3 linked regions of the Macaca fascicularis genome follow. The protein of the gene in region 3 interacts with the protein of the main gene of each other region in a pairwise test. Links are inferred from orthologs where the notes say so. Each region holds a gene or a part of one and is shown on either strand. Other genes may lie near its edges.

Region 1 (3,607 bases), on a different chromosome or scaffold from region 3:
GCATGCGGCCAGCGAAGTCTCTGATGTCCATTTCCAATGCTGGATCAGGCTTGCTCTCCCACTCATCCACCCTGACTGGCACCCCCATCATGGAAGAAAAGCGAGATGACAAGAGCTGGAAGGGGAGCCTAGGTAATGACAGTAAATAAGGAAGATTATAGTCATGTGTTCAAAGAGAGCCATGAGACAAGCACCCATGCTTAAGGAAAAGGGATGATGGTCCAGGTTCTGGAGAGGAAGGTGTACCAGGGTTTTGGGTTCATATTCCTCCTGAGACCCTAGTTCCACATTCTGGAGCTCCTCCACACTTTGAAGTCTCCTGGTGAGAATACTGATTGAGGCCAAAGCCTAGAGGACAAGAATCTTGAGTTTCATTTGGGTGTGAAGGAAGGTAACTCTAATTTCCTCTAAAATATTCTCACATTTGACCTTTGCCATGTGGCACCTTTATCTTTCTCCAGAACCCATGTGGCCTTTTTGTCATTCAGAATTTCAAAATTCCAGCATTTCTGTGTTCCTTCCTCCTGTATAATAGGAGAACCCAGAGTTTTAGTTACGCTAAATCGTTTGGGTAGCAGGTTTTGTTCCCACAGTGTTCTGAGATGAGAACAGAATGTACTTTTTCATTCCATTCCTGTCCATTCCCTCCCCTCTAATCAAAACCCCAGACATATTGTGGATACCACGGGCACATTTTTAGAGCCTGAGGAAGGAAGCTTATATGTATTTTTATTTTAACCCTTTTTGTTGCTTTTAATTCCTTTCTTGGTCCTCTGATACTTATAATATCTTTTGGTTAGAATAAGCATTTTGGAGACTATGGTCATGGTGAGAACCTTAGATCACACAATTATTACCACACTTAATCTGTGTCAATAGACTTATTCTCCAAATCCTTTCTTGCTCCCTGGTAATGTGTGGTAATGGTTTATAAGTGGAGCCGAGTAGGAGCATTCTGACAACTTGGTGGAACCCAATCACCATTGGAAAAATAAATCAAAACAGATACCCAGGTCACTTACAGGCTTAATATGTTGTGCCAGGTGATGGATGAGGACCAGAGGGATCTTCGAAGTCTGTAAGAAACTTTTAGCCATGGTTGGAGGAGCCTCACACACTGATTTCTGGGTTCCCTGGAGGCAAAAATAAATAATTTAGACACATTCAAATTTCTTCTGAAATTTGAATGGGAGAACAGGTAATTAGATGTCTGGATTTGAATCACCTATTTTTTTCTAATGTCTGTTCCCCTTTCATTTGTAGGCATTCTCTTGGGTGGAGACTACCGTGCTGAATATGTCCCTTCCACACCCTCGCCTGTGCCCCCCTCGACTCCCCTGCCCTCGGCTCACTCCAAGACAGGCAGCCGAGACTGCAGTACCCAAACTGAACGTGGGACGGAATCGAACAAAACTGCAACTGTTGCTCCCATCTCTGTTGCTGCTCCAGTTGCTGCCGCCGCCACTGCTGCCGCCATCACCGCCACTGCTGCCACTATCACCACCACCATGGTAGCTGCTACTCCAGTTGCTGTTGCTGCTGCTCCAGCTGCTGCTGCTGCTGTTGCTGCTGCCCCGTCTCCAGCCACCGCTGCTGCTATTGCTGCTGCTGTTTCTCCAGCTGCTGCTGGTCAGATTCCAGCTGCTGCCTCTGTTGCCTCAGCTGCTGCCGTTGCTCCTCCTCCTCCTCCTCCTCCTCCTCCTCCTCCTCCTGCTGCTGCTGCTGCTGCTGCTGCTGCTGCTGCTGCTGCTGCTGCTGCTGCTGTTCAGGTTGCTCCAGCTGCTCCGGCTCCGGTTCCAGCTCCGGCTCTGGTTCCAGTTCCGGCTTCAGCAGCGGCTCAGGCTTCTGCTCCTGCTCAGACTCAGGCACCAACTTCAGCTACGGCTGCAGCTCCAACTCCAGCTCCAACTCCAACTCCAGCTGTGGCTCAGGCTGAGGTTCCTGCAAGTCCAGCTACCGGTCCTGGACCACATCGTTTGTCTATACCAAGTTTGACCTGCAATCCAGACAAAGCAGGTAATTATTCCCTTTAGCAGGTAACTTTTGGTTTAGTTCTGCTCTCAAATACAGATTTATTTCTTGTTGCCTGATGTCTGGGCAGAGTTATCCTTTGGACTGAATTTTTCATGTTCTAAGGGAGAGAGAAGAGAGTCTGTAAATGACTTCTCATCCACCAAGATGGGAACAGGCATGAGTGGAGGCCATTATCTTAGCAGAAGTAAATGAGGGAGGTGACAAGTCTCACTTTGCCATTGGCTTCATGAGGGCTCTGATGGTGTCTAGTTCTAGAAATACAGGTTTTTTCTTCATCCCTAAGTGTTTTCTAACCCTTATTTCCATTTAGATGGGCCTGTGTTCCACTCCAATACTCTGGAAAGAAAAACTCCCATTCAGATCCTGGGACAAGAGCCTGATGCAGAGATGGTGGAATATCTCATCTAAACGGCCAATTCAAGAGCTGCAGATTCTCAGCAAAAATGCTTTTAATCATTTCCCCCTTTTATTGGTTCTTGTTTTGGGGGTGAGGACAAGGGTTGGGGGGAGGGGATGTTTTTTAACAGGACTTTTTGTTGGAACAATGTACTACTTGAGTAATACCATGTGAACCACCAGTCTATTCTGGTATGCTTAGGGAGTACCTCTAAAGACAGATTAATCAGAATGTGCTCTAAAGCTTATTGTTTGAATTTATACAAATACTGGGACTGTTAACGGGTGGGCATACATCAGTGTTTTCAATGTGCTTAAATTTGTTTAAAATTTCCATATTCTAGATCATTTTTAACTGAAGAGCACAGTATGTGTGGAAGACAGTGTGTAATACGTAGTTTGGAAGTGGGAAGCTGGAGAGAATTGAGTGTGTGCTGTCTTGTATAGTTACTATCCTGTGCAGCAGCCGGAGAAAGCTCTCACCTCAGGCTTATAAAAGGGAATAGTTTCAGGAGCTATGTAAGCTGGAAAAAAGGTAGGGAGTTTTGGGGTGCAGAAGGGTGCTGGAGCTAATTTTTTCTTCCAATTTCCCATCTACCCTGCCCCAGGGAATTGTGTTTGTCTTCATTTCAGTGGTGCTTTGGAAACGGATTCTTTTGGTTCCCTCCTGGAGGTTCATACATTCATATATATGCTCTGGAATAATTTATGCATTTGGATAATTAATATATTGCTTTCAGATGCTGGGAGAGTACATTAACTGAGTGATGCACAACTTCCTCTCTCTTAGGGAGTTAGACCATCAGAGGCCTTGATGGAGACTTGCGTGAGGTGCTATATGCAGACTTTCATGGTCTGTGTGTAGCCATGAACATAGCTTGCTTGCATTTATTAAGACCAATCAGCTTAGTGTTTATTTCTTCTACAGCACAGATTCACTGGCTGGGGCTCCAGTCTCAAATTGCCAATCATTTGCAAAGTGAGGAAGGATCTTTGTTGACAGGTTGAATGCTTTGAATTTCTGGTGACTACTTTGAAATAACTTGTTTTGTGTGTCAAATTCTAAGCATATGTCTTAAAAGGCATTTTTGACTATCATCTCCAAGGGAATAACATGAGAAACCCAAAGTACTATGCTGCAGTCGGGGGAGAGGTGGATTGCAGCAGTATCCTCAAC
Region 2 (4,301 bases), on a different chromosome or scaffold from region 3:
ACTGGAGAGACAGGTGGTCCCCTAAGGGAAAATAAGAGTGTTAGGAGAAAGGAGAAGAGTGCTGGACAGTACATACTTAACAAGTATCCACTGGTTATTTCATAGAAGACCCAGAAATGTATTTATTTACAGTAATGTATTCATTACCCAGTAATGAAATCTGAGGGTTAGGAAGAGCAGAAAAGAAGGGAGTGTGGCAGGAAGGAGGAAAAATCAAAGTGGGCCCAAACAACATGGCAGCTAACAGAGATCTTGCAAGGAAAGGTCTACTCGTGGAAAACTCCTCCCAGGAATGTCAGAACTTTTAATAACGACATAGTAATGACACAAGAATAAACACACAGCCAAATGAGCAAACAACAGAATACAAAGTCTAGACATAGACACAAGTAAATATGCTAACATTATATATCAAGGGCAGCATTTAAATTCTATTGGGGCAGTTTGTTTAACAAATGGTGTTGACATAACTGGCTCTCCATCGCGCAGAAGTTAGACCCCAGCTCATACATGTATAAGGATAAACTCCAGTTATATTAAAGATTTAATTTTTTTTATAAAAAGAAGAAGGCCAGGCGCGGTGGCTCACGCCTGTAATACCAGCATTTGGGGAAGCCCAGGCGGGTGGATCACCTGAGGACAGGAGTTCGAGACCAGATTGGCCAACATAGTGAAAACCCGTCTCTACCAAAAATACAAAAATTCCGGGCGCCTGTAATCCCAGCCACTCGGGTGGCTGAGGCACGAGAATCGCTTGAAACCGGGAGGCAGAGGTTGCAGCAAGCCGAGATAGCACCACTATACTCCAGCCTGGGCGACAGAGAGAGACTCTGTCTCAAAAAAGGAAAGGGGAGGGGAGGGGAGGGGAGGGGAGGGGAGGGGAGGAGAGGGGAGGGGAGGAGAGGGGAGGGGAGGGAAGGGGAGGGGAGGGGAGGGGAGAAGAGAAGGGGAGGGGAGGAGAGGGGAGGAGAGGGGAGGGGAGGGGAGGGGAGGGGAGGGGAGAAGAGAAGGGGAGGGGAGGGGAGGGAGGGGAGAAGAGGAGGGGAGGGGAGGGGAGGGAGGGGAGAAGAGAAGGGGAGGGGAGGAGAGGGGAGGGGAGGGGAGAAGAGGAGGGGAGGGGAGAAGAGGAGGGGAGGGGAGAAGAGGAGGGGAGGGGAGAAGAGGAGGGGAGGGGAGGGGAGGGGAGGGGAGGGGAGGGGAGGGGAGGGGAGGGGAAGGGAAGGGAAGTAAAGAAAAGAAAAAGGAAGATAATTCACTGGGGGAATGTGGGGAAACCTTCCTAAGCTGGAAGCCAAGCGTGCCTCTTCCGTTGGGTTCCCATTACTTACGTCACAGGACATCGAGCCAATGGGAACTAGGCATGGGCGACGAGCTCACCCAATGGGGCCGGGGCGGGAGATTTGAAAGGTCCTCGGCCAGGGCGTGGCGTGGCAGATTCAGTTGTTTGCGGGCGGCCGGGAGAGTAGCAGTACCTTGGACCTCAGGTGAGCTGGCCTCCTGTCGCAGGCCTTGCGCCAGGAGTGGGCAGATGATCAGGCAGATCAGAGGGTCCGTTGGGCTGGCCTGCGCGCACACTGCAGGGCTGGAAGGAGGTAGGGATGATAGCAGGGTGGGGGCGGTGAGACAAGCGCCCGGATTGGAGCTAGTGTGCTGACCTGCTCCCTTTTACCAGCTCGGGCTAGCGCTTCCGGCTTGATCGGTCCAACCCCTACCTCTCTCTCTCTCTTTTTCTCTGCTTCTCACGGCTGTTTCCCTTCTCGGCCCAGCTCTCCTCCCCCTTTCCCTCTAAGGATGGCCCAGAAGGAGAACGCCTACCCCTGGCCCTACGGCCGGCAGACGGTAAGGCCCTTCCCTCCTTCCCCGCGCCCACATGACCCCGCATGGCGAGTTCCTGCTGGGAAACTTGAGATCGTGCAAAGAGCAATCCCTTATGCACTTTCTTTCCCGTTATGCTCCAAAGTACGCGCCCCAAGTTTGATGACAGAACCTGGTCTGGGCATTTGTAGCCAGCCACATCCTGTTAGGTGCTGCCAACTTGAATCTGACCAGCCAGTGACTACCAGCCGGTGAGGGCCTCTGCAGGGTTCATCACACACAAGTGATATCTGGGACTGAGCAGGCAGGGCCTGGCCTTCAGGCCATGATTCCCAACCCATGTCCTGAAAAAAATAAACTAGACAGCAAATATAAATAGACTCTAAAAGGATATAAAGTTACTGTTTAAAAGGTCCAGGAAAAGTCTAAATTATAATTTGGAATTAATGAGTAAGTTGAGGTAAGGATCTCAATGAATCTAAATGGATTTATTTCCCAGTTGTCCAGACAGATTTCATTGAGGGGCCTCCTCTCTGATTTGAAATGCCACCTTTATTATATATATAAATTCCCACATATATGTGGGTCTATTTCTGGACTGTATTTTATTCAACTTGCTTATTTGTAGATCTGTACCAATATCACTATTTGGGAAGAGGTTTTTAGGGGCATAGGGGCTCTCTTCTCTTGGCTGAAGAAGAAGGAAGGGGCCCTGCATAGGCTTTGCTCCCTGTTTGTGGAGCTCGGGCTTCCTGGAGAATCTGCCTGTCCCCTTGTTCATCAGCTCCCTCCCTCACGGAGCAATGAGTGAGGCTGTCAGGAATGGAGTCTGAATGAGAAACCATTGTCACTTTTACCTTGGTCACTCCTAAAAGAAAGTGTATCTATTATTTTGAGAAGCTGAAAGTGAGGCCAGGTGCAGTGGCTCATACCTGTAATCGTGGGAGGCTGAGGCAGGTGGATCACCTGAGGTCAGGAGTTCAAGACCAGCCTGGCCAACATGGTGAAACCCTGTCTCTACTAAAAATACAAAAATTAGCCAGGCATGGTGGCGGACGCCTGTAATCCCAGCTACTCAGGAGGCTGAGGCAGAAGAATTGCCTGAACCTGGGAGGTGGAGGTTGCAGTGAGCCGAGATGGCGCCATTGCACTCCAGCCTGGGTAATAGAGCAAGACTCCATCTCAGAAGAAAAAAAAGAAGGTGAAAGTGAGAAGTGGTCCAGGGCCATCAGAGTAGCTCTTAGTGTCCTTAAAGGCTGTTCTTGCAAAGGTGTAACCCCTGGTTATTGCTATAACATTCAAGGCCTCAAGCTTCTTATCTAAGCCTTAATAAACTAAGCTTTTTGGGAGACTTTGAGAATACCTCTGTCTAAACCCCTTGAATTGTGGGTGTTCACAGTAGACACCCAGCTCTCTACTGTGGTGTAGGTGAGAGGCTAGATGAATGGCTGTGGTGTTATGGACAGGACTTATACAAGTTGAACAGCTTCATGCCTGAAAAGTGTGGGCCAGGGCCAAAGAGGTGAAATGTTAGGTGTTGGTGTGAGTCTTTTGCCCCTTATCTTAGGCCTACTTAGGTTATTTTTTAATTTTTTAATTTTTATTTTTTAGAGACAGAGTCTCACTCTGTCGCCCAGGCTGGAGTGCAGTGGCGCAATCTCAACTCACTGCAACCTCTGCCGCCCGGGCTCAAGCAATTCTCCTGCCTCAGCCTCTCAAGTAGCTGGGATTACAGGACCCGCACCCAGCTAATTTTTTTTTTTTTTTTTGAGACGAAGTCTAGCTCTGTCGCCCAGGCTAGAGTGCAATGGCACAATCTCGGCCCACTGCAACCTCTGCCTCCTAGGTTCAAGCGATTCTCCTGCCTCAGCCTCCTGAGTAGGTGGGATTACAGGCACTCGCCACCACGCCCAGCTAATTTTTGTATTTTTAGTAGAGTGGGGTTTCACTGTGTTGGCCATGCTGGTCTCGAACTCCTGACCTCGTGATCCGCCTGCCTCAGCCTTCCAAAGTGCTGGGATTACAAGCGTGACCCACCACACCCAGCCGCACTGGGCTAATTTTTTGTATTTTTAGTAGAGACGGGGTTTCACCATGTTGGCCAGGCTGGTCTTGAACTCCTGACTGCGTGAGCCACTGCGCCCGGCCCTAGGTTGTTTATGAATAACCCATTTTAACATGGGACTGTGAGCAGAGGCTGGGAGGCAAAACTGTCACATCAGTGTTTCTCTTTGAATTGGGGGTGGGCGGGTGGGTGGCTCTTTAGCAAGGGGCTGAAATACTGCTTGCAGCACATTCCACCCGGGTCATCAGACAAAGGCACCCTCAGAGCTACCCCCTGCTCCTTCTCAGGCTCCGTCTGGCCTGAGCACCCTGCCCCAGCGAGTCCTCCGGAAAGAGCCTGTCACCCCATCTGCACTTGTCCTCATGAGCCGCTCCAATGTCCAGCCCACAGGTACCTGGGGCAAGGGGGAGAGGACTGATGA
Region 3 (4,165 bases):
GTCCAGGATGGAGTGTAGCAGTGCAGTCTCGGCTTACTGCAACCTCCATGTCCTGGGTTCGAGCAATTTTCTTGCCTCAGATTCCCAAGTAGCTGGAATTATAGGCACACACCACCACGCTTGCTAATTTTTGTATTTTGCTAGACAGGGTCTCGCCATGTTGGCCAGGCTGGTCTTGAACTCCTGACCTCAAGTGATCCACCCACCTCGGCCTCCCAAAGAGCTGGGATTACAGGCATGAGCCACCATGCCCAGCCTGGTGCTGGGAATCTGAAGAAGGAACAATGACCCTGCCTATGGTAGGTGGGGAGATTGCATAGAGGCAGAGCCCTTGGAAAGAAACACTTGAAGGATGAGGAAGAGTTTAACTGATTCGGAAAAAGGAAAAGCTCAATGTGGGTAGAGAGCCAAGGATGTTTGGAAGAGTGAGAGATGGGGTGATGAGGCCAGCTGAAGGAGGCTTTGGCAGTCAGGCCAGAATTCCGACTTGACTCTGAGTTACTGGGGAGTTCCTAAAGGATTTCGAGCAGCGGAGTTCCTTGGCCAGGATTCTGAAGGAAAATCTCTCCGGCAGTGGTTTCCAAAGACCTGGAGTCCTTTTATGAATCCATTGTCTTAGCTGGAAAATGGATGGCCTTATCCACTCCCAATCCCATCATGGCTTCTGGTCCACTTAAACCATGAGAATTTTTTTTCTTTTTCTTTTTTTGAAACAGGGTCTTGCTGTGTTGCTCAGGCTGGAGTGTAGTGGTGTGATCACAGCTCACTGCAGTCTTGATCTCCTGGGCTCATGCAATCCTCCCACCTCAGCCTCCCCAGTAGCTGGGACTACAGGATTGTACCATCATGCCTGGCTAATTTTTAAAGTTTTTGTAGAGATGGTAGAGGGGCACATCCCTCTGTTGCCCAGGGTGGTCTTGAGCTCCTTGGCTCAAGCAGTCCTCCCTCCTCTGCCTCCCAAAGTGCTGAGATTACAGGCGTGAGCCACCTTGCCTGTCCTGGGAACTGGTTTTTAATCAGCTCATCAAAACCTTCATCTCACTTGCTAACAAAGGGAGCCGCTTCCTTCCTCTCTGCACATACCCCATGTCTCACCATTATAATGGAGTTACAGTGGGACTTGGAATCCAGATGTGTGAAAGATGGAGGGGTTGAAGGTGCATAGAGGGGTGATGGGCAAAGGGGTCCAGGAGGTGATAACCCCAGGTATTCTTGGCCTTGGCCTTCCCCACCTCTCTGGGACTGGGCCAGTTTGAGCATCTCAGCTGCCTCTTCTGCCCGCCCACTCGTTAGCCGCACTCAGCTTCCTGCCCCACCAGAGGAAGTGGGGAGAGACGGCAGGTGCAGTGATGGCTGGCGGAGTCATGGTGAGTCCTTATGCCCAGAAACCCAGGCATCTCGGCCCCCAGCCCCCTATGCCTAGGGTCCCCAGACCCCACTGACTCTTCCTAGCCCAGGAACTCAAATGATCCTGGGGACCCTGCCTGCCATTGCCAGCAGCCTCATATTGTCCACCCCCATCCACAGGACAAGGAGTACGTGGGTTTTGCTGCCCTCCCCAACCAGCTGCACCGCAAGTCTGTCAAGAAGGGGTTTGACTTCACACTAATGGTGGCAGGTCTGGGGGGTTTTGGAGAGGGAACTGCAGAGAGGATGCCCTTAGGAGACCCTGGTTGTCCCCTCCCCTGACCAGCTGGGCCTGTTCTGTCCACAGGGGAGTCAGGCCTAGGGAAATCCACCCTCATCAACAGCCTCTTCCTCACCAACCTCTATGAGGATCGCCAGGTGCCAGAGGCCAGTGGTAAGACCCTCCCCACCCTCCCCAGGCAGTGGCCCCTGTCCCCAGGTTACACCCTAGTCTTTTCCATCTGGGGACTCAGGTAGTTGACTACTTTTTTCTGAGACTTTCCTCCCCTGGAAAATGGGTGCAGGCAACTGTGATATTAACAAAGGAAATTAATCTTGCCTCAGAGCCTCCCTGGATCCCTGACCTCTCCCCCCTCCCACAGCTCGCTTGACACAGACCCTGGCCATTGAGCGCCGGGGTGTGGAGATCGAGGAAGGAGGTGTGAAAGTGAAGCTAACCCTTGTGGACACGCCTGGCTTTGGGGACTCAGTGGACTGCTCTGACTGGTGAGGAAGAGGGAAGGGGACAGAGGCTCAGCCTCTCACAGTGGCGACTCCCTGAAGACCAACGGGTCAGTTACAGGGCTGGTTTGTGCTGGCTCCCTATTCCAAAAGGTTGTGTCTGTTTCAGAGGGTCACTGGGTCTCTGTGCTTCTTGATGACTCGCCTAGGCCCCCACCAGTTCCCTTTAATGTCTTTGGAGGGAGCCAAAGAAATGATGTTCTATTCCCACAGTCCTGGCTAGCCTCGCCCCCTGCCCTCTGGCCTTTGATCTCTGACTTCACATCCTCTTCCCACACCCAGCTGGCTTCCCGTGGTGAAATTCATCGAGGAGCAGTTTGAGCAGTACCTTAGGGATGAGAGTGGCCTGAACCGGAAGAACATCCAGGACTCCCGCGTCCATTGCTGCCTCTACTTCATCTCACCCTTTGGCCGGGGGTCTGGTGGGGGGATCCTGGGGGCTGGGGCATTTAGGGAGGGCTGGGGGGTCTCTGCCCCCTGAGGCTGGGCACTGACCAATCCCTGGGTGCAGGCTCCGGCCCCTAGATGTGGCCTTCCTTCGGGCGGTACACGAGAAAGTCAACATCATCCCAGTCATTGGCAAAGCGGATGCCCTGATGCCCCAGGAAACCCAGGCCCTCAAGCAGAAGGTGTGAGTGATGACCTCTGGCCTTTGACCCCAAGTGAGGCCAAACCTGATTTCAGCTTAGACTTCTTTGATCTTATTATTATTTTTTTTTTGAGACGGAGTCTCCCTGTGTCACCCAGGCTGGAGTGCAGTGGCGTGATCTCGGCTCACTGCAAGCTCCGCCTCCCAGGTTTTCACCATTCTCCTGCCTCAGCCTCCTGAGTAGCTGGGACTACAGGCGCCCGCCACCGCGCCCGGCTAGTTTTTTGTATTTTTTAGTAGAGACGGGGTTTCACCATGTTAGCCAGGATGGTCTCGATCTCCTGACCTCGTGATCCGCCCGTCTCGGCCTCCCAAAGTGCAGGGATTACAGGCTTGAGCCACCGCGCCCGGCCGACTTCTTTGATCTTAAAGTGGCCTTTTTGGAGCATAGTGTCTCAGGCTAGATTGTAGGAGAAGCTTCTGAGGAATGTGGGTGGTAAGCTGCCAGCCAGCGTAGCCATGTCTCTGAAGGCTCAAAATAGGCTAGATATGCAGCCCCTGGGCTAGATGCCTGGCTAAGGCCTATTTGGGGGCGGGAGCATAGACATAAGAACATGGTGACTTCCATCTGGCCCCCACCCCGTGTCTTCAGAGCCCTTTTCCACTGTTTCTGCTTATATATCTCTCAGCCTCTCTCTCTTTTTTTTTTTTTTTAGATAGAGTCTCACTCTGTGGCCCAGGCTGAGTACAGTGGCAAGATCATAGCTCACTGCAGCCTCAAATTTGTAGGCTCAAGTGATCCTCCTGCCTCAGCCTATTGAATAGCAGGGACTACAGATGAGCACCACCATGCCCGGCTAACATTTTTGGCTGGGCGTGGTGGCAGACACCTGTAATCCCAGCACTTTGGGAGGCTGAGGTCAGTGGATTACTTGAGCTGAAGAGTTTAAGACAAGCCAGGGCAACATGGCAAAACCCCATCTCTACAAAAAATATAAAAATTAGCCAGGTGTGGTGGTGTGCACTTGTAGTCCCAGCTATTCAGGAGGCTGAGATGGGAGGATCACCTGAGCCTGTGAGGTTGAGGCTGCAGTGAACCAAGATGGAGCCACTGGACTCCACCCTGGGTGATAGAGTGAAACCTTGTTTCAAAATATATATATTTTTTTGTAGAGATGGGATCTAGCTATATTGCCCAGGCTTCTCCTGGTCTCTTAATGTCTGCCCCATATTAGAATCTTGTGTTTCTCACCATCTATGTCTCTGAGATTTTGTTTTTGTCTTCCTGTACGTCCATCTCTCCCCATCTCTGTCTTGTCTTTCTGTCTCTGACCAGCCAGTATCTCTGTGTCTCCCTGTCTCTGGTCATGCAATGTCTGTCATTGTGGCCTGTTTCACACTGTCTCTGTATCTGTTTCCCCTGAGATC

The links.
Region 1: the proteins of SEPTIN1 (region 3) and AMOT interact in binary tests that used the Homo sapiens proteins (3 or more experiments, as listed by UniProt). The two-hybrid records come from large-scale screens. The link is inferred for Macaca fascicularis from reciprocal best matches to the Homo sapiens genes SEPTIN1 and AMOT.
Region 2: the proteins of SEPTIN1 (region 3) and AURKB interact in binary tests that used the Homo sapiens proteins (3 or more experiments, as listed by UniProt). The link is inferred for Macaca fascicularis from reciprocal best matches to the Homo sapiens genes SEPTIN1 and AURKB.

Annotation. Positions count from the first base shown.
Region 1 is NC_088395.1:119,286,950-119,290,556, reverse strand, and holds part of AMOT (angiomotin), read left to right. Parts: coding exon 1-132; intron 133-1,263; coding exon 1,264-2,016; intron 2,017-2,344; coding exon 2,345-2,442; 3' UTR 2,443-3,607.
Region 2 is NC_088390.1:8,288,328-8,292,628, reverse strand, and holds the start of AURKB (aurora kinase B), read left to right. Parts: upstream 1-1,438; 5' UTR 1,439-1,484; intron 1,485-1,766; 5' UTR 1,767-1,791; coding exon 1,792-1,839; intron 1,840-4,106; exon of another isoform or gene 4,107-4,167; coding exon 4,168-4,270; intron 4,271-4,301. UniProt on the Homo sapiens protein: Serine/threonine-protein kinase component of the chromosomal passenger complex (CPC), a complex that acts as a key regulator of mitosis.
Region 3 is NC_088394.1:28,524,049-28,528,213, reverse strand, and holds the start of SEPTIN1 (septin-1), read left to right. Parts: upstream 1-1,329; 5' UTR 1,330-1,349; coding exon 1,350-1,367; intron 1,368-1,527; coding exon 1,528-1,618; intron 1,619-1,714; coding exon 1,715-1,801; intron 1,802-2,009; coding exon 2,010-2,133; intron 2,134-2,430; coding exon 2,431-2,565; intron 2,566-2,659; coding exon 2,660-2,777; intron 2,778-4,162; coding exon 4,163-4,165. UniProt on the Homo sapiens protein: Filament-forming cytoskeletal GTPase. May play a role in cytokinesis.